Linked DNA regions of Arabidopsis thaliana. The protein of the gene in region 2 interacts with the protein of the main gene of each other region in a biochemical or structural test. Each region holds a gene or a part of one and is shown on either strand. Other genes may lie near its edges. The genes, in order: AT2G02780, AT5G45780, AT5G51560 and AT4G20790.

Region 1 (7,864 bases), on a different chromosome or scaffold from region 2:
CTGTTATGTTCTTCAAAATGTTGTCTTGTTAGAAGGGTCTTCGTCGGAGCAGTGACCTAAAAAACCAAAAAGTGGTTACAGTGAGAAATTACACTCACCGTTTGTAATGTGAGAGAGAGATAAAAACAAAAGCAGAGAAAGCGGAACAATAAAGGCATGATGAAACGACTGTGTTTTGTCTGATTTTTAATAATGGGCTTTATTAGTGGGCTTATTGGTGGTATGAGCCCAATTATTTGTACAATGTATTGGAATTTATTTAAATATCTTTATTTTCTAGTTGAGTTAATAAAAAAATTTAATTGAGAATTAATGCTGTCGTTATTCAAGTGGTTAATCTGCTAATTCCCGATTTTGAAACGCATTAAATGTTTGTTAATTACGTTTATTCAAATTGTGTAAGGGTGGTACAATAAGTCAATCAACCAAAGTGGATGAACACATAATGACCAAAAAAAAAAGAAACTTTCTTTTTTCTTTTTATTGTAGTAATGAATTATTACTACGTTAACTATGACATTATCTATAGTACACACTAAATTTTATTAGAATCATCGTTCTGTCACCATCTAAATTAAAATTAAATTATTAGAATGCTAAGTGTCATATCATATGATTTAGCTATAAATAGTTAACCAAAAAAAGAAGCTATAAACATATAATACTTTATAATCTTCACTTCATTTACAAAAATATACTGCTAAAACTGTAATTTGGTATAAGAACAACTGATACTTGAATTTCAAATTATTTAATTAACAGATCAAGTCGAATATTTTATAAATATTATCAAAAGCTGATTAAAACAACAGAAAGACTCTTTTCATTCTCGTTACTCAAATCGCTCTGTTGACGTACATAAACAATTGTGTTTACTCCTCTAAGTCTATCTCATATTGACTTACATAAACAATTGCCCAACAAATGTCTATATTCAATTAAAAGCAACAAAGAAAAAACACTAACTAAAAAAATAGAATCATAATCTGAAACGAAAACTAACTTTTTCTTTGTCTCAATGCCGATCAATTAGCCTCCATGAGCAGTAATCCTACAATTATAAAGAAACGTATTATAATGGTTAAAACTCTTGTCATCAATCCAAAAACACTCATACTTAATCTTAGATCTCAATTTGAGATAAATTCGAAATAAGCCTAGATTTCTAAGTTACAACAAATTTTATTGATTTTAATCAAATAATAAAAACATATAAATAATTATTTCATTCACATAAATATATCTAAGAAAGATAGACACACATAATTAACAAAAGATAAACTAAATCGTATTAGAGTCATCATTTTGTCACCATCCAAATTCAAATTAAACTATTAGAATGTTAAGTGTCATATCATGTGGTTTAGCTATAAACATGTAATACTTTATAATCATTTTAAGTTATTTCTTATTACCATCATTCACTGGAATTTGTTTTACAACTTTTGTACAGTTGATCTTTAATAAATGAGCTAAAACTAAATAGAAGATTTTAAATTTTGATGATTGTCTATATATTTAGTGTAAAACAGTAAATGAAAGGCAAAAAAGCTGCAAATCAGATTCTGAATAAAAAACATGTTATGACGTCTAATCAAAGTTTTAGGATCCGAGAAGTTTACTTTTCTTGAAACACAATAATCGAAAGTTTTGTTTAATCAAAAGAAGCTCATAAATAAATTCTAGGATCCTAAATAGCTAAGTAAAAAACAAACTGAAATAGATTACAATGAATTCATACATTACATTTTTGTAGTTTGAGACCCTAGAAATACGATCTTGTTCCTCCTCTTTTGTTTATAGGCTCAGTTTTAAACCTTAATAAATTAATAATCTCGGAACCGATAAATTCTAATTAATTTATAAAGGTATTAATTTATTAATAAATCTTATAGAGAGATTTTATTAATTTTGTAATTTTTTAAAATTTCTATGTGAGAAGTAGTTTTTGTCTTTATAATCAATGTCTTTCAAAAATAAATTACAAATAAAAAACCAATTGTTAAGTTAGTAAACAAAAAACACTTTGTTCAATATAGTAAAAATATTAGAAATGAACTCTACTAAAAATTTTATACAAATTTAAGAAAAATGAACAATACTAGAGTTAAATCCCACTAATTTAATTAAATATATATATATATATATTAATAAGTGTAAAATTATTAATTTATGATATTGATGAGATCATATGTTTACGTAAGAGTTTTTAAAAACTTATTATTTTATAATTTCATTGATTTGTGTTATTTATTACATTGAAAACGTCAAGAATTTATTAATTTGTAAAAATAGTAATTTATCGAGGATTAGTTTATAAATAATTTACTGTATTAGCATTCACAAGGAATAAGCATAGTACATATATGTCCCAATGTTAAGTAAATCATTTTTTGTATAATTACTTGTCAAAAAAAAAAAAAAAAAAAAAATCATATAGAAACTAAAATATTTGGAAATATATATGGACTCAAAGGTTGTACAATTTTGGGCCTAACCGTATTATATATAATATACGGGCTAAATGTTACACGTATGAAGCCCAAAATAACCTCTCTTTTTTTTTGTCAAACTTGATTTGTAATTGAATTTTAATAAAATTAAATAATTGAATTTTAATAAAAATTAAATAATTGAATTTTAAATGCATATTTTTCGATAAAAAAAAAATGTCTGTTGCAGAAAATATTAAATGATACTTTCGCAGTGACGATTATTCCAAGGCCGTTTGCATGTGCAGATGTGCTTGATCATATAAAATCCATTCAAATTTTCTAACATTAGTAAATGAACAGTTCATCAGAATAAAAGAAACAGCTCGACATTTGGTAGAATCTCTAACCACACTTTTAAAGAAAAGACACAAACCTAATGGCTTCTCTCTCTCTCTCGAAGACAAAACACGACATAAATTTCTTAATCCTCATTACCTATCACCGACAAGTAATGAAACATCTCTATAATCTTATCTGATCAATCATATATAACCAAAAGCACTTGTTTTACTAATAAAACAAAGCAAAAATCATGTGAAATACAAGTTCTTATTGTTAATTTGTTATAGTAGTAATCAAATCAAATAAATAAACATTTCATCTTCTTGGATTCATTGCAAAACAGTCTGTCAAGTTGAGGTTGTGCAATGTGCAGTAATGAACAAACAACCAAACCAAGTTTAAGAACTTAAAGATTGCATTTATTGCCTCCACCTTAATTGGCTTTTCTACTTTCATTTACTTCTTCTTCTTCTTCTCTTGATCCAAAGTTTTCCTCTACACTACCTATAGATCTGTCTTTGTTCCTAGAAAAATGATAACTTTCAGTGAGTTTCTGTTTCTCTAAAGGCAAAACACATCTTCACTATGCAGATTTCTCTTCAAATCCATTTATCTTCCTTCACTTTTCTTCTTCTTATTTTCCTTCTTCCAGTACTCTCTGAGTCTCAGGTAGCTTCAAGTGAATCACAAACTCTTCTTGAAATCCAGAAGCAACTACAATATCCACAGGTTCTTCAATCATGGACTGATACAACCAACTTCTGTCACATTCGTCCGTCTCCTTCCTTGAGAATCATCTGCCTCCATGGTCACGTAACAGAGTTAACCGTCACCGGGAACAGAACTAGTAAGCTCTCTGGAAGTTTTCATAAACTCTTCACTCTTCTTACACAACTATCGAGCTTAAAGACTTTGTCTCTTACTTCTCTCGGAATTTCTGGTTCTCTTTCTCCTAAGATCATCACTAAGCTATCACCGTCTCTTGAGTCTCTCAATCTTAGCTCTAATTTCATCTCTGGGAAGATTCCAGAAGAGATTGTGTCTTTGAAGAATCTGAAAAGCCTTGTTTTAAGAGACAATATGTTCTGGGGTTTTGTCTCTGATGATCTCAGAGGATTATCAAATCTTCAAGAGCTGGATTTGGGAGGTAATAAACTCGGTCCTGAAGTTCCTTCACTCCCAAGTAAGCTCACCACTGTTTCATTGAAGAACAACTCCTTTAGATCCAAGATTCCAGAACAGATCAAGAAGCTGAATAACCTTCAAAGTTTAGACCTTTCTTCCAACGAATTCACCGGGTCGATTCCAGAGTTTCTGTTTTCGATTCCTTCTCTTCAAATTCTCAGTTTGGATCAGAATCTGTTAAGCGGGTCACTTCCAAATTCTTCTTGCACCTCCTCAAAGATTATAACTTTAGACGTGTCTCACAATCTTTTAACTGGAAAGCTTCCTTCTTGCTACTCTTCAAAGAGTTTCAGTAATCAGACAGTGCTTTTCTCATTCAACTGCTTGTCTTTGATTGGCACTCCTAACGCGAAGTATCAGCGTCCGCTTTCTTTCTGTCAAAACCAAGCAAGCAAGGCAATAGCTGTGGAACCTATCCCCAAGGCTAAAGATAAAGATTCTGCAAGAATCAAACTCGGGTTAGTGATTTTGATAATCATCGGTGTGATCATCCTTGCAGCAATTTTGGTTCTGTTGGTTTTGATTGCCCTCAAAAGAAGAAGATCAAGATCAGAAGATGATCCTTTTGAAGTGAACAACAGCAACAATGAGAGACATGCCTCTGATAAAGTCTCTGTTTGCAGCACCACAACTGCCAGCTCTAAGTCATTACCAGATTCAAGTAAACAATGACTTATCTTATTAATACTTGGACACTTGAAACTGAGTCTTTCTCTAGCAAAAACCATTAACAGGATCTTTCTGAGTGTAGGACGTGTACCACAGACAATGAGATCTGCAGTGATTGGTTTGCCACCGTACCGCGTTTTCTCCTTGGAGGAACTGGAAGAAGCGACTAACGACTTTGATGCAGCTAGCCTGTTCTGCGAACAGGTAAAAACAAAAACTTGACTTGAGACTCTGGCGACGAACCTAATAGATTACTTAATATATTTGGTATTCGAACAGCTGTATAGAGGTTGTCTAAGAGAAGGCATACCAGTGACAGTGCGAGTTATCAAGCTGAAGCAGAAGAGCTTGCCACAAAGCTTAGCTCAACAGATGGAAGTTTTATCAAAGCTAAGGCATATGCATTTGGTTAGCGTTCTTGGACACTCCATTGCCAGTAACCAAGACCACAATCAACACGCTGGACACACCATCTTCATTGTTCAAGAATACATCTCTAGTGGATCATTGCGGGACTTTCTCACAAGTAATAATAACCTGAAAAAGATTAGAATATATATTCAGGTTTCCATAGACTCAAATGGTTATTCATTATGGGAATTTTTGTGATCAGACTGTAGGAAGAAAGAGGTACTGAAATGGCCTCAGAGAATGGCGATAGCAATAGGAGTCGCTCGAGGGATACAGTTCTTGCATATGGGAGTAGCACCAGGAATCTTTGGGAACAATTTGAAGATAGAGAACATCATGCTTGATGAAACACTCACAGTAAAAATCAGTGGCTATACTATTCCTTTACCATCCAAGGTATAAAACTTTGTTTTATTTCTTCTTCTATTAATTGAATCTAAGAAAATTTAATGGCATTTCTAGGTTGGAGAAGAGAGGCCTCAAGCCAAAAAACCTCGGAGGTTGTTGTTGTTTCTTAAGATATGATCAAATGTGTTCTCTTCTATCAAATTTTGAAACTTGTTAATGAATAATGTGCAGTAATGAAGATAGAGAGAAAGAAGATGTGTACCAGTTTGGAGTGATACTACTACAAATCATCACAGGGAAAGTAGTTGCTGCAGGATCTTCAGAGATGGGAAGTTTGAAGCTTCAGGTCTGTTCTGTTTCAGTCAGAACCTTTTCATCTTTAAGAATCCGACACGGCTTACAAATTTAGAACCTCAATGTTATTATTTCCTGCAGCTGGAGAACGGTTTGAGAGATGAACCATCAGTATTGAGCAGCTTAGCAGATCCATCTGTTAAAGGATCATATGCTTATGAGTCGTTGAGGACGACAGTAGAGTTTGCTATCAACTGTCTTTGCGAAGATCAGAGCAAGCGTCCTTCCATAGAAGACGTTGTGTGGAATCTACAGTATACAATTCAAGTGCAGCAAGGATGGAGACCAAGCAGTGGGAATCATGAATCATCCATGAAAGCAATATATGAATGAAATGATCATAAAGAGAGGCAAAAACTGTAGAAACAATAATAAGTTTCAAACAAGTCAAGATGTAGTTTCATGGACTACCTGAAATATCTTTTATTAGCTAACTTAGTAATCTGTGAATAAAAAGCAAAAGGAGTTGAAAAACACACAAAGACATGTAAGAGAGTGTGTCCAGCTTTGCTCGACAACATTGCAGACTCTTCTGTTGTATTCGCGCTTGCTTTCGCTGAACATTCGTGCATCTCTTAAAACAAATCAGCAGTCTACAATCTTGCTAACCTGCTTGATGAAGACATCAAAATCTTCAAAAACCTTCACAGGTTCTTTATAACAAGAATCTCTGTGCCTGGAATACTATAGAAAATCCCAAAAGTTACTGCAAACCTCTCACTATGCTCACGTCTAACCTCTCCATCTCAACCACACTCCGTGTTTCGGGCAATCTCCAATACAGAAGTCTCTACCTCATCCAGCATTCTATAAACTTCCTTTGTTATGACTTGTATCGCTAGCTAAAAACAAGTGCTTGTGTTCCACATAACTATAATAACCATAGCTATACCCAGGTTAGGTAAGATGTCGAAAACAGCAAGTGGCTTTGCCAAGTTACCTCACCTAGCATACATACTACTGATCAATGCATTTTCGCTCACAAAACAAATTTTGTTACAATACCATTGGCTTTTACTAGCTTCTTACTTCTTGACCAATCTCTTGAGCCTCCAAGATAGATAGGCACAAGAAGACAGGATCATGACAAACGCTCGATGATCACAAACACATACACACCAGCTTCCTTCATTCGAGTTTGATATGTGAGCTCTCGTAGACGCACGTTCCATGGCGTCGAGAAGCCACCGCAGCGACGGTCATGGATATTGGCACTTTCGATGAGCTTGGCGTGTGGGGTATTTGTTTATGTGTCTATGAACCATTTATTGGCAAAAGGGTATCGACCAAACAAGATGGTCCATGTGGATGAGCCTGGTTATAAGTTTTTGGCTGTGTTGTTTGAAGTTGTTGTCATTGCCATTGTTATGATATGGGACACTTGAAAAAAACACCAATTGACTCATTGATTTCTCAGGTTTGTAAAGAAAGGATGTTGATTTTGAATTGTTTATAGCAATCCTCGTATTGTAGTGTACTTTGTAGTTTGTAGCATCAAAAATAACAACAACAATAGTAGAAGAGATGTTTCTCTTTTTTTTTTTTTCGCCAGAAGAGATGTTTCTCTCTTATTCCATTTTGACAAGGTTTATCTTAACGGTACAGTATAAAGATGGGCCTATAATTGTTGAGTTGGGCCTGTAGTGGCCTTGTAGGTGTTGTTATTGGCTTCATTTGGGCCCGCCACTAGAACACCAAATGGACCAATGGGTGATTTATTTTGGATATCAGTAGACCAAAAATTATATCAAATTATAAATTTGGGTCTGATTTGTATCAGTGGACTGATATCTTTGATACTCAGTATCATGTGACGTTGCAGCATACGGTTGGTCAATATTTTCGCTCAAATCAGAGAAAAAAAAAATCTTTAGTAATCTTATGTTATAATATATTAATTTTTGAATTTGCAAAAAAAATTTTTTTATACTTAACCGGTCTCACCAATATAATCATATTTAGTAGGAGTATCATAAAAAATCTCAAATAAAAATCAAATATTATAAATAATACTAAAAAATTACTCATGATACTATATAAGTATCACCCCATATCATGCTCTTAGAATTGTGAAACTTATAAAACTGGTCTTTTTGTTAGGCAATGGTGAGGCTTTTTTA
Region 2 (8,067 bases):
AAGATTCTTACTAAAAGGATGTGTAAAGATCTCAAAAGCATGAGGATACTTACCGATAAAAGCTCCAACATTTACATTCAAACCAACGAGATTCTTCCATCTAGACATAAGCTGCAAAGAAACAAAAGGACCACGCTTTTTGCTAGACATGAGTTTTGAAATCTCGAGGATGATGTTTAGTTTCCTAATCTGGGGAATGATTTTGTCTAATTGATGATCTCTTGTTCGATTCTCTAACCTTGTTTGTGCTGAATCTACAGGCTTTAACCATCTTCGTTGATTGTAGAAGTAAAGTGGGCATAAAAATGAAGACTTTGTTGGGTTTTGATGTGTCAAAGCTTCTCTAATGCTACTGTATCTCAAAGATTTTAGAGAATTCATATCTTTTTTACTGTGAATTTCGGGAAAAAGGAAACATTTTTCGAACATCGATCACCATTTTAGAGAGAAAGCGGCGGAGAGAGAGCGAGAACGACAAACGAGTTTAGAGAGGGTTCGGTTTTTAAGGCTGGTCGAACCAAACGGTTTTTACCTGAACCGAACCGAAATTTATCAAACCGAATTTGAATGGTATTTTGTTGACGTGGCATCAAATCATACATTATTATCGGGCGGCGAAGCTTAGGACTCTTGTTTAGGTATTTGCGTTAACTGATCAAATGATTCAAATTACATCTGCAAAACATTATTTATAGGTGTAGAAAACACTAGTTTAATCACTTCAATAATAATAATTCACTAGGAGAAAAAAGAAATTGCTTCTCTAATAATAAAATTGTTCAAATTATAATAATTTTAGTTTAATCTCCAAATCATTTACGTAACAACATGAGAGAGAGAGAGAGGAAGAGAGAAGAGAAGTGGGTACCGAGATAGATTCAAACACTTGATCTCAAGTTTCTGTGGTAACTCAACGATTTGGACGAGATGTGATCTAATGGTTAATTTAATTGCTCGAGTTATTATTCAATACACTTAACTATTAAATTAGTCAAAACATCTATAATTCCCTAAAGCGAAATCAAAAATATAAAACTTAACAAACAAGTTTAAAAGAAAAAAATTGTAATTTACTGTATAAAAAAATGTTTTATTTGATATTTAGAAAAAATAAATAATACAATATTTATTTTATTATTTAATTTTCATAAATGATTGAAAGATGCTAACACTATAAATTTAAAAATATCTTTTATTTTAATTACAAAACTAATATTTGTAAGTTTTGTTCAAATTATTTCATGCACCTACGAAAAATGGTGGATCCACGTGACTTTACAAAATAATATATGGTTCAAAATCTTTAAATATATGAAAAAACAATCACATTAGCAAAACATTAACTTAAAAATGATAAAAATACTATATGACAATATGACATGGACGAATTGTGTGCATACACAACCTAACCAATATTCAGAAAATAATTCTATATTTTTAATGATGTCGTAAGCAGTGGCTTTGGTGAATTATGCCATAGACCGTCTTTGCCACTTTGATACCATTTCGAATTTAGTTTGGATCATCTTATCGTTCACATTTTTGCTTTATGATATATTTGCGCTTTTATTACTATTTCATAGTATAATTTTACCCACATTCTAAATGATATGTATGAGAGATTTTACAATGATTTGAGATCAGTAGCAGAAATGCAAACATACTAACATAGGTAATATAAAAAACTCAAGAAAGCATTAGATCCAAGATCAATTATATCCAAACTCAAAACTAAAAAGACCAAGCTGTTTAAGACCAATACATAAGTAATTTAAACAAGAATTTGTAAAATTTACTCTACTGAATTACAAGGTAAATTATTTTAGTTAGTTTGTAATTCTACCGTTTGAAGAGGATAGTTGTTACGCACTTGCAAAAAAGGATACCTTTTACACACTTGCCAAAAACGTTGTGTATTGGGATACCGAAAATTATGGTATCTCAAAACACGTTGACCCCGTTACGATTAAGGCGGTTGGTGACCCTAATGAACTTTTTCTCGGTACCTTCAGTTACTTTGATTCTACCTATATCGACTCTACCTCAGTCATTTCAGGTAAAAAAATTTAATATTATATTTCTAGAAAAATGTTCTTTAATATTATACTTATAGAATCTTACGTGAGATGACTTTGGTGTGGATATTGTAGATGAAAAGCAAGCAAGTGACGTTATTATCAAATCAAAGATCATTTCTTGGGCGAAGGATAGTCCTGAAGTTGCAAATGAACTATTAATTGCAGGATATAAAGGGTATCGGTATGTACAAGACCTACTAAAAACTCAAGGACATAATGTTTTTTTGGGATAGATCTCTGAAAATTCGTCGCGGAATTATTTCATGTTAAAATGGTATGAGAATGGAAGCGATTAGCAGAGGAATGAGGACCATTAACACATGAAGGAATTATATGTCCTAATTGCAACGAAAAAGTGTAAAATGAGGCTAAACAAGATTTATGGAGAAAGGGTAAAATGACTAAATCAGCCGTGCATGAGCACATAAGCATTATATTGCATGTTTTAAGAGTCTTGAAGCTTGAAGACTTTGCTATTACTCGAAATGTTATCAAAAATTAATTAAAACTTGATAATTATTTTAGTCGCAAGATAATTATTTTTTGTTATTGTTACAAAAATCATCACCATTCAAATATTGTGTCACACCATTTATTCCATACTAACCCAACTTATTACTAACCCAATATCGTTCATACGAGCATTAGTCTTGAGCATTATTGACTTTTTCAATGGTGAAATAAAGATAAATCAAGCCGTTGATCGGAATACCATATCAGATTCAAGAGTGTGCTGTTGTACCATTGTTCTCGTAGAACCGATTACAGAGGATCTAATCTCACTAACACTGTCAAAAGTCAGATATAAAAACAAAAAAAAGTCTTACAGAACAGAAGACAAGGAAACAATCGTTTGACAACTTCGAGGATTTTCCCGCTTCCATTTGCTATAATCGTCAATTTCTTTATTTGTCTTCTTCTTCTTCTTCTTCATCTCGATTCAATTTAATGCCAAAAAAAACTTATCTTTTTAATGTATTTATAATGTTTCAAATGGTCTGCCCTAGAAGAAAGGGCATACAAATGATAACTAACATTGAAGTCTAGAGAATTCTTATACTTTTTCTACGATGGAGATTTCTTTGATGAAGTTTCTGTTTTTAGGAATCTGGGTTTATTATTACTCTGTTCTTGACTCTGTTTCTGCCATGGATAGTCTTTTATCTCCCAAGGGTGTTAACTATGAAGGTGAAAAAAGTATCAAAGATCTTTCTTTTATTGTGTAAAAAGGTTTTGACTTAATCCATATTTTTGGGTTATTGTAGTGGCTGCGTTAATGTCAGTGAAGAACAAGATGAAAGATGAGAAAGAGGTTTTGTCTGGTTGGGATATTAACTCTGTTGATCCTTGTACTTGGAACATGGTTGGTTGTTCTTCTGAAGGTTTTGTGGTTTCTCTGTGAGTATCTTTTGCACACCACTTGTTCGACTAAATGTCTCTGAGAAACGTTTCTTTGCTGAGTTTATTGAAATCTTTAATGCAGAGAGATGGCTAGTAAAGGATTATCAGGGATACTATCTACTAGTATTGGGGAATTAACTCATCTTCATACTTTGTGAGTTAAATGAATTTGTGGTTAATCTTGGAATTCAAGTATGTGTTGTTGTAACTAATGGGGTTACTTGTTATTATTGTAGGTTACTTCAGAATAATCAGTTAACTGGTCCGATTCCTTCTGAGTTAGGCCAACTCTCTGAGCTTGAAACGCTTGATTTATCGGGGAATCGGTTTAGTGGTGAAATCCCAGCTTCTTTAGGGTTCTTAACTCACTTAAACTACTTGTGAGTTTGATGCAAAGATTCTTGATTTACTTAATGTTGCAATTGTTATTTTCTTACAAGGTTAAGTCTTGTAGGCGGCTTAGCAGGAATCTTTTATCTGGGCAAGTCCCTCACCTCGTCGCTGGCCTCTCAGGTCTTTCTTTCTTGTATGTCTTACTCTACCTAACATTACAGCTCCAGGAAATTTCTATTTCGTATAATGTTTCTTAGACTAATGTTTTTTTATTTATGAAAAACTTGAATAGGGATCTATCTTTCAACAATCTAAGCGGACCAACTCCGAATATATCAGCAAAAGATTACAGGTAAGATATGCGAAAAATGCATGATTATTAGCCGTTGCAACTTATGTGAAAGCTTCTTGATAAACTTTTCTGTTTTAGGATTGTAGGAAATGCATTTCTTTGTGGTCCAGCTTCCCAAGAGCTTTGCTCAGATGCTACACCTGTGAGAAATGGTATGTTGCTTCGAAAATTCTTTGCAAAACTTTATTTAAAACATGGTTTCGTTTATTTAACTAGCTGCAATCGATCTGCAGCGACGGGTTTGTCTGAAAAGGACAATAGCAAACATCACAGCTTAGTGCTCTCTTTTGCATTTGGCATTGTTGTTGCCTTTATCATCTCCCTAATGTTTCTCTTCTTCTGGGTGCTTTGGCATCGATCACGTCTCTCAAGATCACACGGTACATATCTAATAGTCTCTCTCTGTCTGTCATATACAATATATGTCAAGACTTTGCTAAAATCTGCATTACTTTTTATGGATTTCTTAGTGCAGCAAGACTACGAATTTGAAATCGGCCATCTGAAAAGGTTCAGTTTTCGCGAAATACAAACCGCAACAAGCAATTTTAGTCCAAAGAACATTTTGGGACAAGGAGGGTTTGGGATGGTTTATAAAGGGTATCTCCCAAATGGAACTGTGGTGGCAGTTAAAAGATTGAAAGATCCGATTTATACAGGAGAAGTTCAGTTTCAAACCGAAGTAGAGATGATTGGCTTAGCTGTTCACCGTAACCTTTTACGCCTCTTTGGATTCTGTATGACCCCGGAAGAGAGAATGCTTGTGTATCCGTACATGCCAAATGGAAGCGTAGCTGATCGTCTGAGAGGTTTTCAATTAACACATTTCTTGTTTTGTTATTCTTTCGATATATAACGCGAAAAGTTCCTTATAAGATTACATGTTTCAGACAATTATGGAGAAAAGCCGTCTCTAGATTGGAATCGGAGGATAAGCATTGCACTCGGCGCAGCTCGAGGACTTGTTTACTTGCACGAGCAATGCAATCCAAAGATTATTCACAGAGACGTCAAAGCTGCAAATATTCTACTTGATGAGAGCTTTGAAGCAATAGTTGGCGATTTTGGTCTAGCAAAGCTTTTAGACCAGAGAGATTCACATGTCACTACCGCAGTCCGAGGAACCATTGGACACATCGCTCCCGAGTACCTTTCCACTGGACAGTCCTCAGAGAAAACCGATGTTTTCGGATTCGGAGTACTAATCCTTGAACTCATAACAGGTCATAAGATGATTGATCAAGGCAATGGTCAAGTTCGAAAAGGAATGATATTGAGCTGGGTAAGTAAAAAAATTCTATGAGTCATTTACTCAACTTAGACTGAACCCATAAGGACAAAACTTAAATCTAAACCATTGGTTTTTGTAGGTAAGGACATTGAAAGCAGAGAAGAGATTTGCAGAGATGGTGGACAGAGATTTGAAGGGAGAGTTTGATGATTTGGTGTTGGAGGAAGTAGTGGAATTGGCTTTGCTTTGTACACAGCCACATCCGAATCTAAGACCGAGGATGTCTCAAGTGTTGAAGGTACTAGAAGGTTTAGTGGAACAGTGTGAAGGAGGGTATGAAGCTAGAGCTCCAAGTGTCTCTAGGAACTACAGTAATGGTCATGAAGAGCAGTCCTTTATTATTGAAGCCATTGAGCTCTCTGGACCACGATGATAGACTTCATAGTGTCTTAACTAGTCTTCTTGATTTTGTTGTCATTGTCATGGCATTAACTGTAAAAATTTGTTTTCTCAATAACTCTTATTTATTCTGTTCTTCCAAAAATAAATGAAGATTTGCGTTTCCACAGTCTCATAAAAAATTATCTATCGTTAATTTTAAAACTCATACATAATAAAGTGATTCGGCGAATGAAAGACTATTTGCCTTATGTAACTAAGAAGGCCAAATATATGCTTAAGATTATGCTTTTCTTATGGGCTTTATAATATTGGCCCATTAAACCATTTTAATAAATCAAAGGGGTAATTTCGTCATTGCGTTAATTCAAGAAACCCTAAGTACCGACCCATATAAGTTCTCTCACTTTGCACTCGACGCAGTTTTGGGCTTTGCAAACTCTACACTGCTTCGTCTCTTAGCTCGACATTGATCTCCTTAAAATGGTATTTGTTTCGTTCGTCTCTGTAGATCGATTCAATGAAAATGTGTTTAGTTCAATGGGTTTATTTTTCGGCTTTGTTTTGTTTCTCAGGCGTCGGAGAAGAAGCTCTCGAACCCCATGAGGGACATTAAGGTTCAGAAACTTGTTCTCAACATTTCCGTTGGTGAGAGTGGTGATCGTCTCACTCGTGCCTCCAAGGTTCGATTTTGTTTGTAAAAATCTGACCTTTACGATTATCCATCATTGATTTAGTGATTTAGATTTGAATTATTGTTTTTGGTTATTTCGTATAGGTGTTGGAGCAGCTCAGTGGACAAACCCCTGTCTTCTCTAAGGGTATGTGAATTTGAAATCTTTCAGGGATTTAAGTTTGATTTTGTGTTGATCTTGATTCTGATGTATGTTGTGGTTTTTGTTATACAGCGAGGTACACTGTGAGGTCTTTTGGTATCAGGCGTAATGAGAAGATTGCGTGTTATGTGACTGTGAGAGGTGAGAAGGCAATGCAGCTTCTTGAGAGTGGTTTGAAAGTTAAGGAGTATGAGCTTCTTAGGAGGAACTTCAGTGACACTGGTTGCTTTGGATTTGGTATCCAAGAGCACATTGATCTTGGAATCAAGTAAGTTTTCTGTTTCTTTTGCGATGAAAGTTTCCTTGAATTAGTTACATTAATGGCTTTGTATAATGGTTTTGGTACTTGGATTCTTCATGTATCTGTATATGTTTAAAAGAATTTCAGTTGCATCTAAATGTCAAGTCTCTAAATTAGGGGTTTTGTGAGGTTTAGTCAGAATGCAGACTACTTTGGTTTTCGCTGAGTGTTATAGTTTTTGTGGAATTTTAAGTATGGATTGGATTAAAAATGAGCCCTTTACTAGTTTTTGGTTGAATGCTAGATTTGGGTCTAGTAAAAGATGAATGCTTTACTGTTTTTCAAGGGTGTTAGATTCGAAACTGATTAACTGGTTTATTTGAAATGTTTACTGTTCTCATGTGTTTTATTTTGTGTATATAGGTACGATCCTTCCACTGGTATCTACGGAATGGACTTTTACGTTGTCCTTGAACGCCCAGGATATCGTGTGGCTCGCCGCCGTAGATGCAAGACTCGTGTTGGTATTCAACACAGAGTAACCAAGGATGATGCAATGAAATGGTTCCAGGTCAAGTATGAAGGAGTTATCCTCAACAAGTCTCAGAACATCACTGGTTAAAAAGTGTTTTGATCTTTAAAGATTTTTGTTGATTCTAGCTTATTTTAAGTTGTTATCTTTGGATGTTAAAGAATTTCTTGTTGTAGTAAATCTTTTGACATCAGTTTGGTAGAATCTAAATCTTCCAAGAACCTTGGAGATATGTTTCTTATTTTATTCAATGTCATCATCAAAACTAAAATCAATCAAAAGCAGCTCCTTTGATTTCATTGTCCTTATAGATGAATATGTCTCTGGACTACACAGTCCCTAAACTAACCCTATGTTTTGAACAAATTTGTATAAATAAAACTAAAGATACTCATAACCACAATTCATAAATACACTCATAACCACAATTCATAAATACTAAAACAGGAGAAAATAAAATAAAACATTTAGAAGGAGAGAAGGGTGAATACACAACCAATACAAAATTACTACGTCCCAGACTTCTCAAATCAAACGACACCTTTTAGCGAGATAAAAGAGGAAGAGGATTAAGAACACAAGCGAGAAAAGACCAATGCCGAGACCAAACAGAGTCTTGTTGGAACCTTTGTGTTCTTCTTCTTCTTCTTCCTTCGTCTTCAGA
Region 3 (7,909 bases), 2.4 Mb from region 2:
GTGATGGTGTATACGAGGTGCTGGTGTGTATCCCATAAAAACTATTTCCCATAATTCGCATTTGAAGGTTCCAATGAGAATATTTAGAATTTCGTTTTATATTTTACTCTTCACCATACAAAGTATCATTCCCAAAAAAAAACGATAAAAAGATAAAATATCGGATAATAGCTGTTCGTTTGTCCTCGTCAGCATAGTTCCACTAAACCAGTTATCGAAAACTAAATTTAGATTTTAGATACATTTTATAATTATCCAAAAACAAAGAGAAAAAAAATGAGAAGTAAACAAAACAAAACCTGGGAAGGATAAGGAGGATGGGCCCGTCTCAATCGCGGAGCGAATTGCGCGGCTCTCTTGTCAATGTATATATTGATGTGAACACTTTTTAAATATTTTTACAAAACACTTATAAAAAAAACGAAAATGTTGTTTTGTAAAAATATTACAAAACAAAATCCAAATAAAATTTAATTATATACTAGTCAGCAAGCAGAATCGTACAGCTGAGATTGAAAGCTCTCTGCTAAAATGGGCCACTAAAAGTTTATTTTTTGGCTATTGGTGGGTCTCACTTGTTACACTGACGTTACGGTGACACTGAAGGACAACCACTGACGCCAGACAGGCAACACCTGGCATATATGTGGATTTATACGCTGACCTGGCAGTGTTGACTCCTTGTTTTAAATGACACGTCATCTGAGTGTGAAAGAGACAGACGTCGCGTGAATTTTGCGGGACTTTTTTTAACTCCCTAGACCGCGTGTGAAGTGTACGCTCCGGTGAATGGTGAGGCCCATCGTTAGTTTTGGTCGTGTTGCATTTAATTCGTTTCATAATGTTCTTTTGTAGACTTTAGTGGTGAATTTAATTATTTTGTAAGGTGCGATGACTTTCTTGACAGTGGAAATTTTTTCACGTTTTCACAAACATGCATGATTGTTTATTTTCAGTTCGATGATTAGTGACCTGTATTTTAAGTGACAGTGAACAGGAATCTCGTTTTTCACCACAGTTAATTGGGATGCGATTCTTGTTATCTAAGTTAGAATCGTGGATGCGATGATGAAGTTTGTATTTTCTATTGATATTGTTTTACCCAAACCCAAGAGTCGAGAATGAATTTTTATGTCGTTGCTATTTATTCTGAACTTATGTCGTAAATGTTGGGATCAATAATTTAAGGTGACCGAGTCGTGACCCACATGAGTGTCGAGTGATTATTACAGCTTCGGTGAAAACGAGTGAAAAGTGAAAACGCAAACATTATTTTTAGGATCTTCTCTTTTGCTCACGAAGAATTGTAGTACTATTAGATAATCTCATAATCCTGAATGAGTGTTTTTAGTGGGATCACAATCCGAAATGACTATTTAAGCGTTAAGATTCAAAACAACTTCACATATATATAACCTTCAATGACTTCAATTTAATATATAGTTTGAAATTTAGTGTGAAAATCAAAATAATCGAACCTCGTTAATATTTTTAGTTTCATTCATGTTAAGTAATTCAAGCCAATTTTCCTTTTATAGTTTCTCTGCATGCAAATTTATATTTAAAGTGCGTGCATGTTGCATCACTTCAGTAATATGGTAGAATGCAAATTCGTTAACCGTCTCTATAGTTCATGACTTCATGATAGCATAAGAGATAAAATGAATTCAGGGATTTATGTGTAATCATTAAGGAATGAGAAAGTCACATAAAGCATGTAAAATAATTTTTGGGTCGTTATTTTTTTTTACTACGATGAATCTCTGCTCTCTTTTATATATTTTAGTCATGACTGAATAATGACAGGCAATTTTAATAATTTAAGATAAGTATGCGGTATGCCATGATCGGTAGACGGTAGCTCAATACAATTCCGACACAGAAACTAGTTTTTTTTTGGGTATTTGATAATGGGCCTTTTAGCAATTTTCTAAAGCCCAAATTTATTATTCTTGCTTCACGCAATATTGTTTAAAGCCCAATTTAGAGAACATGATTTCCATTCCGAATTCGTCGCCCAGTCACTTATTAGATTAATAGATTGCATTGCATTGCTTGTGCTTTCAATTTACAAATTGTCTCCCAACTCCATCGACACATCTCTTTTTGTGTATATAAGATTCAGACTTGTTATATTTTTTTTATAAATATGTTATTAGCATCTTAAGTTAAATTGATTTTTTATATCTGCATTAAGGATTACACGACTATATTTGCGATTGTGTGTTGGTTAAAATATAATTTAGGATTGTCTTTAACTACATTTAGGATTATATGACTATATTTGGTTAAATATAAAATCTAGCTGTGATTATTAGTATTCAAAAATAAGTAGCCTAACCAATTAAAACAACGGCTATTGGGGCAAATTAGAACATTTTAGTGTGTCCAAAATATAATGGTCATTAGGTCATATTCCTCCTAGCTTCATCGCAGCATAATTGAATGATTGCCTTATTTAGAAGAGCTTTTCCACTTTCCCAAAATCTATGTGGGATCTTTTTGTTTTGACCTTCATTTTTCTTGTTTACCATTTTTAGCTAAATTATTTACGATTACAAAAGATATCAAAAGTTGGATCATAATACAATTTATAGACTTACTGTAGAAAATTCGTATGTACAAGTACAACAAATTCTTCATAATAAATTTTGAAAATTCTATTACAAATGTTGTAAGAAATAGAATTTGAAATATATATAAACTAAGGAGAAAAAAAAAGAGAACATGCATTGCTCTAGTCAGAGTGGACCAACATCAACGAGATAAGATAACATAAAAACCAACTCACCATAACTAAAAACATCCCAAGAGATCCAACGATTCATATCAAACACAAAAACATCGAACGATCAGATTTAAACCATCTCTGGTATCTCCAAAACACAAACACTTTTTTTTTTCTTTTGTCTGAATGGAACAAAAGCATGCGACATCTCTGTGTCTTTATCTTCTCTCTCCTCTTCTTGAAAAACTGAACCTTTAATTCTTTCTTCACATCTCCTTTAGCTTTCTGAAGCTGCTATCTTCAAGCTCAAAACCAAACCCTAGAAATAAAATGACGGCGACACAAATGCTGCTTCATCTTCTTCTTCTTCCACTTCTCTTCCTTCACTTCAGCAACCAAGTCATGGCAGAAATCACCGACGAGTTAGCGACATTGATGGAGGTTAAAACAGAGCTTGACCCAGAAGACAAACACTTAGCTTCATGGAGTGTTAATGGAGATCTGTGTAAAGACTTTGAAGGTGTTGGTTGTGACTGGAAAGGACGAGTTTCTAACATATCTCTACAAGGGAAAGGCTTATCTGGTAAAATCTCTCCGAACATTGGAAAGCTTAAACATTTGACGGGTTTGTTCTTGCACTACAATGCTCTTGTTGGAGATATTCCTAGAGAACTTGGTAACTTGTCGGAACTTACGGATCTTTATCTCAATGTTAATAATCTCTCCGGTGAGATTCCTTCAAACATTGGGAAGATGCAAGGCTTGCAAGGTTAGTTCTTTTTTACTTTAATTTTAATCTTAATCATTGATTAAACTTAAAACCTAAATTTAGCATTGTTAGATCTTTGGTTTCTGCAAAATTCTTGTCCCAAGATTAATCAATGTTCTGTGGAGATTTGAAACCTAGAAATCTGAGCTCCTTGTCTTAGGGGTTTTAGTTACTTCATTACTATCTCTGGTAGTTGAAATTATTTGAATTAGATGATTTTGGAATTTAATGCTTTAATGATCTGTCTTTAAAACGTCCTTTTCATGTCTTTTTGTTAGGATTTTTCTTTTTGTAATTTTCCTGTAAGGAAGAATAGTCAAGAACTTTTTAAGATTCAAACTTTTAATTGGAACCATAAATGGCTTACTGGTCCCAAAATATGGACTTGAATTGAAGATAACTTGTACTTCTCTTGATTAATTTTGTTTATTTAGATAATTGATTCACTTACTTTCAAAAGGCTTTATATTTGAGCTTTAATTAGCAGGACCAGGTTTCTAAATCTAGAATTAGTTCTAAGTTAATGTAAGTCAAAGCTAAGCTTCATTCCTTTTTTGGTCTATGTTGTTGTGTAGTTTTGCAGCTCTGTTACAACAATTTGACTGGAAGCATTCCTAGGGAGCTTAGTTCACTGAGGAAGCTGAGTGTTCTTGCTCTTCAATCTAACAAACTCACTGGAGCTATACCTGCGAGTTTAGGAGATTTAAGTGCTCTAGAGCGGCTAGATTTGAGCTACAATCATTTGTTTGGTTCTGTACCAGGCAAGTTAGCTAGCCCTCCTCTGCTTCGAGTTCTCGACATCCGCAACAACTCCCTCACTGGCAATGTACCTCCTGGTTAGAAAACTGATTCACTATATGATCTTTGAAACTAACTTTGCGTATTTTGTGAAGTGTTTCTCATTTTGGTTTATATTTCTTTCTCTGTTGTACCGATTTGACAGTACTGAAGAGATTAAATGAAGGTTTTTCGTTTGAAAACAACTTGGGACTATGTGGAGCTGAGTTCTCGCCGTTGAAATCTTGCAATGGCACAGCTCCTGAGGAACCTAAGCCATACGGTGCAACCGTGTTTGGTTTTCCATCCCGGGATATACCAGAATCAGCTAATCTACGGTCACCTTGTAATGGAACAAACTGTAATACTCCTCCAAAATCTCACCAAGGTGCAATCCTTATTGGTTTGGTTGTCTCGACTATTGCATTGTCTGCTATTAGCATCCTCTTGTTCACGCATTATCGCAGACGCAAACAGAAGCTTTCAACCACTTATGAAATGTCGGACAACCGTCTCAACACCGTAGGAGGAGGTTTTAGGAAGAACAATGGTTCTCCATTGGCCAGTCTTGAATATACTAATGGTTGGGATCCACTTTCAGACAATAGGAATCTCAGTGTCTTTGCTCAAGAAGTTATCCAGAGCTTTCGATTCAATCTTGAAGAGGTTGAAACTGCTACACAGTATTTCTCAGAAGTGAATTTGCTTGGAAGAAGCAACTTCTCTGCGACTTACAAAGGAATCTTGAGAGATGGTTCTGCTGTAGCGATCAAACGGTTTAGTAAAACAAGTTGCAAATCTGAAGAACCTGAGTTCTTGAAAGGACTCAACATGTTGGCGTCTCTGAAACATGAAAACTTGTCAAAACTTAGAGGCTTCTGCTGTTCAAGAGGCCGTGGAGAATGTTTTCTCATCTATGATTTTGCTCCTAATGGAAATTTACTGAGCTATCTTGATCTCAAAGATGGTGATGCGCATGTTCTTGATTGGTCCACGAGAGTATCCATTGCTAAAGGCATCGCAAAAGGTATGAGTTTTATTTATGCCGAACCAATTTTGTTAGCGTTCTTGATTCATTTTTGTTTATGTGTTTGATGTTTTGTGTTTAGGGATTGCTTATCTACATTCATACAAAGGAAGCAAGCCAGCATTGGTTCACCAAAACATCTCAGCGGAGAAAGTTCTAATCGACCAGCGATACAGTCCTCTACTCTCAAACTCAGGCCTCCACACACTTCTCACAAACGACATTGTCTTCTCTGCACTCAAAGACAGTGCAGCAATGGGCTACCTCGCTCCAGAATACACCACAACCGGACGTTTCACCGAGAAAACCGATGTCTACGCTTTCGGGATTCTTGTGTTTCAGATAATCTCCGGGAAACAGAAGGTTAGGCATCTTGTTAAGCTTGGAACTGAAGCTTGTAGGTTCAATGATTACATAGATCCAAATCTTCAAGGAAGATTCTTTGAATATGAAGCCACAAAGCTAGCTAGAATCGCGTGGCTATGCACTCATGAATCTCCCATTGAAAGACCATCCGTGGAAGCTGTAGTTCATGAGCTAGGTAACTGTAGTAGCTGTCTCTGAGAACTCTCTCGAGGCAAATGTGTAATGTGTACCTTAGGAATCAATTAAGGAAGGGTTTGTTAGTCACCTTTTCCTGTGTTTAGGGTTAAGAAAAAGGTGCCTTTTCCCTTCCCATTAACGTTTAAAAACTGTTCAACGTGTTGTACTTTATTGGTTTGTATGATTTGTGTTTATGTTAAGCTCTTCAACCTTAGAAGAAGACAAGACAAGTACATTACTTTTAAAAAATTTCGGTAGATGGAAAATATTTATGGTACTTTGTCTTCTTTTTTTTTTATAACTTTCTGAACCAATTTATTGTCAATAATTCAATATAGAAAAAAAATAACGTATAACATTTTTTTTTCTGATATTGATCAAATCAATATCAAAAGAATTGATTTGTTAGATGGTTTTGATTTAGATTTGGATATGAGCTTTAACTTTTAAGTCTTTATTAGTCATCTAGATCTAGATACAAATTTATAAATATAAAGTCAAAGGTTAACTATTAGCATTGGCCACCAGATTCGAATAATTTACATGATTTTTCTAGACTTCAGGATTAGATTTTGGACCTAGTAAATTTTTAGAATTACTTGAGTTATTTGAAAGAAATAAATTAAATTATTAGTTGTCCACAAAAGACAGAAAAAAATATCAAATTATACTTTTCATTGGTCAAAAAAGGATTATACCAAATATCTAAGGAAGGAAGATATTGTTGATATAGCTAATTAATCAGTAACTAATCCTAACCGTCCATTTCTCCTCAAACCGCTTGATCTAACGGTAGCAAAAGGCTTCGATCACATAACACCATTTGTTTCCATAGAAACGAACGAGTCGTGGAGATTTATAAGCGAGACTTCTTCTTCTTCTTCTTCTTCTTCGAAAGCTTGAGAGTGCTGCGTAAAAATGGGTAATACGTATTGTATCTTAGGAGGTTGTATTGAACAAGCTAGCGTTGGTGTGGTCGAACGTTGGGGTCGATTCGAGCATATAGCTGAACCGGGATGTCATTTCTTCAACCCTCTCGCCGGTCAATGGCTCGCCGGAGTTCTCTCCACTAGGATCAAATCTCTTGATGTCAAAATTGAAACCAAAACTAAGGTTCGTGATCACTTATTCCTTTTGATCCTTTGCGAATTTTGGTTAATACTGTATGTGGTGAGATTCATGTAAATTAGGCTTATTGTCGTTGTTGTTTGTAGGATAATGTGTTTGTGCAGCTGGTTTGTTCGATTCAGTATCGTGTAGTGAAAGCTAGTGCTGATGATGCGTTTTATGAGCTTCAAAACCCTAAAGAGCAGATCCAAGCTTATGTCTTTGATGGTAATTTTTTTGCTTCTCTGTTGATGTTTTTTGTTTCTTTGTTTGAAGAAGCTCTGTTTTGATTCTTGATTTGTTCTTGTATGTTTGTTTTTTGAATCATAGTGGTTAGGGCTTTGGTCCCAATGATGACGCTTGATGCTCTTTTTGAACAAAAGGGTGAAGTTGCCAAGTCTGTTCTTGAGGAGCTTGAGAAGGTATAACATCTTGTTCCTTCACTATCTCATTCATTTGTATGTTTAGAGACTATTTATTCATAATAGGATATAAGATATCTGTTTTGAGATTCTTGATGTTTTGTAGTGATCCTGCATTTGTTGAGCTAACTAATAGGTGGATTATCAAGTAGGCATGTTTGGATTTCATAAAGAAAAGTTACAACGTTAAGTATATGTTTGGTTTTGTTCAAGACTATGTTTTCATTTGTGAGATTCTTGATGTTCTATCGTGATCCTGCATTTGAGATAACTAATGGGTGAATACTGAGTCTTGTGAAGTGTTATCATAGATATGTGTGGATTGCATAGAGAAAAGTAATAACATATATTCGAGGGTAGCCTGCTTTCGAGACTGGTGAAGACTTTTGTAATGGTCATGACTCATGATTGGAGTTGTTTGTTTCTTCAGGTGATGGGTGCTTATGGATACAGCATTGAGCACATTCTAATGGTTGACATTATTCCTGATCCCTCTGTACGCAAGGCAATGAACGAAATCAATGCAGGTAACCTTT
Region 4 (6,399 bases), on a different chromosome or scaffold from region 2:
ATTCCGGTCAACGGAAACGATCATCTTCTCCACTCTCTCCATTTCTCCACCTTCAGGTAAACCAAGTTTCTTCAGAACAGTTTGCAGTTCTCTAGCGGAGATGAATCCATCACCGTTCTCATCAAACACCTTAAACGCCTCGGCGAGATCCGATTCATTTTCAGCTGCGGAAGAAGGATCATCTTCGTTTTCTCCTCCTCCACAAGCTCCACCGAAGAAAGAATCGTCGAGTGTTTTGTGAAGAGAAGAGAAATCATCGAAATTGAGACCAGTGTTACCAGGTTGGATGTATGATTCAACGGTGGATTTGAGATCGGAGAGATCAGCGTTGAGACCAAGACGTGTTAGAGCTTGGCTTAGCTCTTCGACGGTTATGAATCCGTCGCCGTTTTTGTCGAATAAGTCGAAGATTCGTTGGAGACGAAGTGCGTTTAGGCTTGGGCTACGTAGTCTGAAGGATGATGATTGTCTTGCAACTTTCTTCTTCTCGTTGTTGTTACTCTCCATTGTTATCTTGTGTTCTTCTTCTTCTTCTTGTTCGTTTGTGGAATTATAATCTGAGATTGAGAAATTGAGTGATGAGGGCTAATTATAGAAGAGAAACAATTGGTGAATTAAAAAATTTATGTGTAGGAGTCCGTTGTTGCCGGCATTGACTTTGTCTGGCCCGCCATGTAAGAACTTCTAGCATCAGACCCCATAATTCATACTATCAATGTCAAAATAAAAAGGTCACCTTTTTTTTTGCCAAAAAAAAAAAAAAAAAAAAACGGTCACCTTTTTTGTGATCTGTCGAATAATATTTTGACAATGACATTAGAACAAAAATCCGATCTTTTTTCCCCCGGGAAAATGGAGATAGAGAAAAAAAAACGTCTAATTTTATGATCGTTATTTAATTGTGATACAAGTTTCGGTTTCAAATGGTAATGAAGATTATTAATGCTTTGATGATGGGTTAATTTCTGGTTTATTAGTATTTGGATTATTTTAAAAACTGAAATTGCTTTCAAGTTGATAAATGATACACTCATACATAACTGTCGATGGCTTTTCAACGGAGAAGAGACAAGTCACGTCGTAGTAGTTACCGAATTTTTAATCGAACGTTCCCATTTGCCAACCAGTGTATAGTTTCTATATCTTCCAACCCGGGTCGGGTCATTTGAGAACCCATAAAACTATGAAACCCATTTCAGCTAATAAAGCCCATTTGCAGAAATGAAGCCCATTTACAGATTTCATGTCTGCAAATTAAGTACTCATTTTCTGCAAATTCTCTCAGTACTTATAGTAATCAAAGAAAAAACACACAAATATGTCTTTAATCCTTACAATACTATCTAACACCAGATGTCTGAAAATCAAAAGAAACCAATAAAGCTTTACAAGGTATTTCAATGATGTCGTGAACTAGACTCATACAATGAACTCACCAAGTCATAAATCTGCGTCAAGCTTGGTTGCTTTAATGGTGGTATTATATCAGTACACATCAGTCCTAGCGTAATGGCTTGCTTAACTTGATCAAATGTTCTCCCCTCAATCTTCATCTTCTCATCAATCACTCTCTCTAGATTATCCGGATAATGAACTCTTATATACTCAAGATACCTTCTTTCTGAATCTTCTTGTCCCAAATCAGGTCTTAGATTTGTAATCATCTCCACAAAAAACAATCCAAAGTTGAATATATCTGTAATAACACAACAACAACAACAACAACAGACTTAGCTTTTATAGCCTTAAAAAGGTTTTGATTTTTGCAAGAAGAAGATGAAGCCTTACTTGTTGACAAGTTGTTTCTATCTCCAATCTTGAAATGAGAAATCAAAGGTTCTTGATTATCATCGGATAACAAAACACTGCTTGTGGTGAGATCAAATGTAATCTCTGGCCATTGATCTGATAGATAACAAATACCTTCTACAACTCCTAGAACTACTCTTAACCTTCTTCTCCATGATAAAGCCATTGACGAACTTAACCAAGTCTCAACATTTTCACCTTGAATCCATTCTGTAACCAAAGCTCTCATGTTTCTACTATTACACCAACCCAACACTCTTACCAAGTTCTTGTGTCGTAACTTAAAAACCATCTCGCATACCTCTGCGAATTCACGCCTTTTCTCACTCGAAACCTTCTCTTTATAAACCTCGATCTTCGTCTCTGTCCCGTCTCTTAACGTTCCTTTGTAGATATCCACTGTATTGCTCATGCTCACAAGATGTTGATCTGAAAACTCATCCGTTGCTGCTTCAAGCATCGCGAATGTGAACTTGTTTCTTCTCCGGCATGTTCTTGGTAAGTAATCAGGTCTCTTGACACATAACCAGCCAAAGCAAAAACAGAGCAAAATCACCATTATTGGAAAAACAATCAACAAGACCAAAACTTTCATCTTGTAACGCTTCACGTTGGGAAGAACACCGGACTGTATGAAACTAGAGGCGTTAAACCGTTTGAAGAACTCAGAATCCGAGATCTTATTCTCGGAGAATCGGTTATACGATAGGTTCAAATGGGTCAGATTGGGTAAGCCTGAGAGATCTTGAACCGGAACAAAACCAGAGAATTGGTTGTAACTCAGATCAAGAGTACGAATCTGAGCACAAGACAGAACATTTGTCGGAAAACCATTCGTTAGAGAGTTATTCACTAACTCGATATCAACGACGGTTAAAGGACAGTACTTCCAGAAGAAATCGAAAGAGAGGTAAAGAGCAGCGGTTTTAGGACGACCGTGAATTCTGATTCTAGGGAAAGATTCAACGCAGTTAGGGTTTTTGGACTCGTTACAGAGATGACTAGCGACGATTGTGGATCTGAAAATCTCGACAATGTCCATTGGAGAAGAGGAAGTGTTGTTGCAGTAACGGAGCATTGGATCACGAAGACAGTTGTTGGAAATAGTGGTGTTGAAATCAGGAGGTGGACTTAGATTAGCGAGGTCTTCGACGACGGTTGCGGAGAATACTGAGAGAGGAAGATAGGATGATAGTAGTGACGTGAGGAAGAAGATGAAGAACAGAGAAGACGCCATTGGAGAGATAGAGAGCAAATAGGTTTCGTTATTTGGTTTCGTGTATGGGTGAGATTAGAGAGAGAAGCAGAGAGGTAGTTTCTGTGTTATTGGAGGTGTTGTTGTTGTTGGCGGTTATTTTGAAACAGAGTGGGATGAGATTTACGCGCCCATTTTCCTTTTAGTGATCGTGTGCTTGGAAGTTGAAGATTATTAAAATAATAATAATTGTGAAGTTTTTTAAATTTTGTGAATATCTACACTTTTTACAATAGCTCCACTATGAAAACAAATTTCAATGTTTAATTATCATTTTCGTTGTCATTGAACACATAATAATGTGTTTATGTCAGTTGGTAAAAAATTATCTAGAATGGTTTTGCTTGTATTTGTAAGATTGTGCCTCGAATTCCTTTCATATATTTCTTGTCTCTTTGGTCTATTTATCTTGTTCTAAACTTTTTCTCTTTCTTGCGCAACAAACATCTACGTGGGTGAATTTGAGTCGATAATTATTTGGTAAATGTGCTCAATGTTAAATATAATTTTTGTTTGAGAATTGAATTGAATTATATAAACTACTATCAATAAAATCTTCAATAGTTTCACTTTATATCCAATGAACTTTATATTTCTGCAATTTTACCAAATTAATATGCCTAATTTAAAATTTAGATTTATAGAATCATATATATAATTTTTAATTTTCTACATTTCTATTTTTATTCATCTAATCTATATGCATTTAATTTCTTTAATTGGTATAGTTTCCTATGTTGTATTGTTTATTATTTTGTTATTAACATATTTTATAATTTTTTGTATTTTCTTAATTAAGAATAATAAAAATATATAAAAATAATAGTTATTGTCTTAATGAATCTTTAAAAAAATGGAAATTCAACAGGAGCTAAAAGGTAAACTTTTGATAAAGAAAATAAAATTTATTGCAAACTTACTCAGGCTTCTTAATTGTTAGAGAATTTTACACTAATGCAACGCATTAAAAGGTGAATTCAACAGAAGCTAAATGCTACTTCCATGAGCACTAACTCAAAAAGTGAGAGGAATAGTCATTTGAGATAAGTTGAGAACTAGGCAGTTTTTAGGGAAATAATTTGAGAACTAGACAGTTTTTTTAAAAATAGGCTGATAGGGTAGTTTCTTCTGTCCTCTCTAATACAGCCCTCCTCTAATACAGCAAATAGTCAAAGACCGTTTTACCCCTCTTGTGTTTTGATGAAAACTAATGGGCCAAATTCAAACCAGCCCAATATCATTCAAAATTCAAGATTTGTCATGGGCTAATATCACAAAACTCAAACCCATTTGTCCTCAAGACATTGAAACCAAACATAAACTTATCTCCTAAACCCTCGTTGAACATAAACTTCTCTCGTCGTCGACATCTTCTCTGAAGTCGTCATTGTCAAAAGAAGATAAACCCTCGTCACTTCGAAAATCATACACACATTGTCAAAATCTGTCGAGATGGAAGGTATGAGTTATCATAAGAAGCTTTACAGTTTATGAAATTGAGTGTACGGCCAACAAATAACGATGGAGACGATGACTCTGTTTTCGTTTTTTCAGGGGACGATGAATCCTGCGTCTCCATGGTCGGCCGGTGGATTTGCTACTCCAATGGTTGGTGGGATTTCAAGGTTGATAAAACTAGGCCAGGAAAGGCTATTAACTGCGAAAAAATTCAGACTTTCAAATCACTTGAACAAGTTCTCCGGCGAAGATTCTCCATGGTTGGTCACGACGTCTTTTGTTTAGTATTCTATCTTGGCTAGTGTACTAGTCTAGTGTACCGAAGTGGTGTACTGTTCTAGTGTTCTCACTTTGTGTACTATCATAGTGTACGCATTTGGTGTACTAGTCTAGTGTACTAGTCTTGTGTACTACTGGTGTACTGTTCTAGTGTTCTCACTTGGTGTACTATTATAGTGTACCCATTTGGTGTACTATTCTAGTCTACTTCTAGAATGTCAAAGTATCAATCCAAATTATAATACAATATATTTCAATTCAAGTGTTATGAAGCATAATAATAATCTAGGGTTATGATTTTGAATTAGGAATTTATTTATTTACTTGGAATTCTAAATTCTAGTAATCTAAGGCTTTAGGGTATAGTTTTAAACTTTATTCCATATGATATATGGTTTTCCTTGGGTTTAGTCTTCTCTCTTTGTCTTTTAGTGTATAGTTTTGAATTTCACTACATTTCAATAATGTCTTTTAGTGTATAGTTTTAGGGTATAGTTTTTAATTCCATTGCATTTCCTAAATGTTTTTAGTATAATAGTAGACTAGTCTAGTGCACCAAAGTGGTGTACTGTTTTTAATTCACTTGGTTACTAATTGGTGTACCCATTTGGTGTACTATTCTAGTCTACTATTATATTCTATCTTGGCTAGTGTACTAGTCTAGTGTACTAGTGGTGTACTGTTCTAGTGTTCTCACTTGGTGTACTATTATAGTGTACCCATTTGGTGTACTGGGTTTCTCTCAAACGTCTCTCTTCTCGAACTCGTTCACCCTCGATTTGTTGTACACCGACTGTGGCTAGGGTTCGTGAAAAACCAAGAAGAGTAAAGTAACTCAATCTCAGAATAAACACGGGCTCAGAAGTTATTTGGATAAAAAACGTAATGAAACTATCGGGCTCAAATATTTGGGCTCACTTAATACGAATTGGAGTTAACGGGCCTAAAATGAGTTTTAAAACCCAATCCAATTTGTTTCGTCGAACCCAGCCGGAATGTGTGTTTTTAAAACACAAGGCTACTATTGTATTTGACACCTCTTTTGGATTTTTGCTACCTTTTTCTATCTCACATGAATCCTATTAGACAAGCCCAATAAAAAGTACCCTCTTAGCATATTTCCAAAAAAACTGTCTAGTTCTCAAATAATTTTCTAAAAACTGCCTACTTTTACAATAAACCCTAGTCATTTCACTTTTTTATCAAAAACAAAAAAATTGAATAAAGTTTCACATTAAGTTACGTTTCCAATTAGGCAATTACATTATAAAACAAAAAAAGTATTCAACTTTCCCTCATTACTTCAGTTTCCATATTTTGTAGGTTTATAAGTTTATTCAAAGTACTGTAAATACATCTTTCAGTTTAATTTTCTTTCCATAGTTTTTTCTATAAGTCTAAATCCCAATTAATACATAAGAAAAATAACAAATTACTTTAGATTTTTCGTTTCTCTTTGAGTTCTTCAATCAAAGTAATGAAAGAAGTAGTTTATGTTCTGCTACTTGTTCTTCTTGTTTCGGTTTCAGATGCAAATGAAACGAAACCAAATATTGAAAACTTCCTCCGATGCCTTCGTAATCGGACCAATCCGAAGA

What was found.
Region 1: the proteins of AT5G45780 (region 2) and AT2G02780 form a complex in vitro, tested with the Arabidopsis thaliana proteins (one large-scale study listed by BioGRID).
Region 3: the proteins of AT5G45780 (region 2) and AT5G51560 form a complex in vitro, tested with the Arabidopsis thaliana proteins (one large-scale study listed by BioGRID).
Region 4: the proteins of AT5G45780 (region 2) and AT4G20790 form a complex in vitro, tested with the Arabidopsis thaliana proteins (one large-scale study listed by BioGRID).

The regions. Positions count from the first base shown.
Region 1 is NC_003071.7:780,145-788,008, reverse strand, and holds AT2G02780 (Leucine-rich repeat protein kinase family protein), read left to right. Parts: upstream 1-3,086; 5' UTR 3,087-3,362; coding exon 3,363-4,623; intron 4,624-4,713; coding exon 4,714-4,835; intron 4,836-4,910; coding exon 4,911-5,157; intron 5,158-5,244; coding exon 5,245-5,438; intron 5,439-5,504; coding exon 5,505-5,542; coding exon of another isoform or gene 5,543-5,567; exon of another isoform or gene 5,568-5,621; coding exon 5,622-5,736; coding exon of another isoform or gene 5,737-5,799; exon of another isoform or gene 5,800-5,825; coding exon 5,826-6,077; 3' UTR 6,078-6,335; downstream 6,336-7,864.
Region 2 is NC_003076.8:18,564,707-18,572,773, reverse strand, and holds AT5G45780 (Leucine-rich repeat protein kinase family protein), read left to right. Parts: upstream 1-2,867; 5' UTR 2,868-3,148; coding exon 3,149-3,266; exon of another isoform or gene 3,267-3,343; coding exon 3,344-3,476; intron 3,477-3,561; coding exon 3,562-3,633; intron 3,634-3,715; coding exon 3,716-3,859; intron 3,860-3,933; coding exon 3,934-4,005; intron 4,006-4,104; coding exon 4,105-4,164; intron 4,165-4,242; coding exon 4,243-4,316; intron 4,317-4,397; coding exon 4,398-4,544; intron 4,545-4,634; coding exon 4,635-4,973; intron 4,974-5,054; coding exon 5,055-5,446; intron 5,447-5,534; coding exon 5,535-5,828; 3' UTR 5,829-5,976; downstream 5,977-8,067. Other genes in the region: AT5G45790 (Ubiquitin carboxyl-terminal hydrolase family protein), read right to left, coding at 1-429; AT5G45775 (Ribosomal L5P family protein), read left to right, coding at 6,278-6,280, 6,370-6,477, 6,573-6,615, 6,703-6,898, 7,295-7,493; RLP55 (receptor like protein 55), read right to left, coding at 7,929-8,067.
Region 3 is NC_003076.8:20,942,749-20,950,657, forward strand, and holds AT5G51560 (Leucine-rich repeat protein kinase family protein), read left to right. Parts: upstream 1-2,927; 5' UTR 2,928-3,058; coding exon 3,059-3,497; intron 3,498-4,072; coding exon 4,073-4,333; intron 4,334-4,440; coding exon 4,441-5,301; intron 5,302-5,383; coding exon 5,384-5,865; 3' UTR 5,866-6,191; downstream 6,192-7,909. Other genes in the region: AT5G51570 (SPFH/Band 7/PHB domain-containing membrane-associated protein family), read left to right, coding at 6,763-6,957, 7,059-7,179, 7,282-7,373, 7,804-7,900.
Region 4 is NC_003075.7:11,133,378-11,139,776, forward strand, and holds AT4G20790 (Leucine-rich repeat protein kinase family protein), read right to left. Parts: upstream 3,047-6,399; coding exon 1,789-3,046; intron 1,697-1,788; coding exon 1,398-1,696; downstream 1-1,397. Other genes in the region: CML42 (calmodulin like 42), read right to left, coding at 1-507; AT4G20800 (FAD-binding Berberine family protein), read left to right, coding at 6,279-6,399.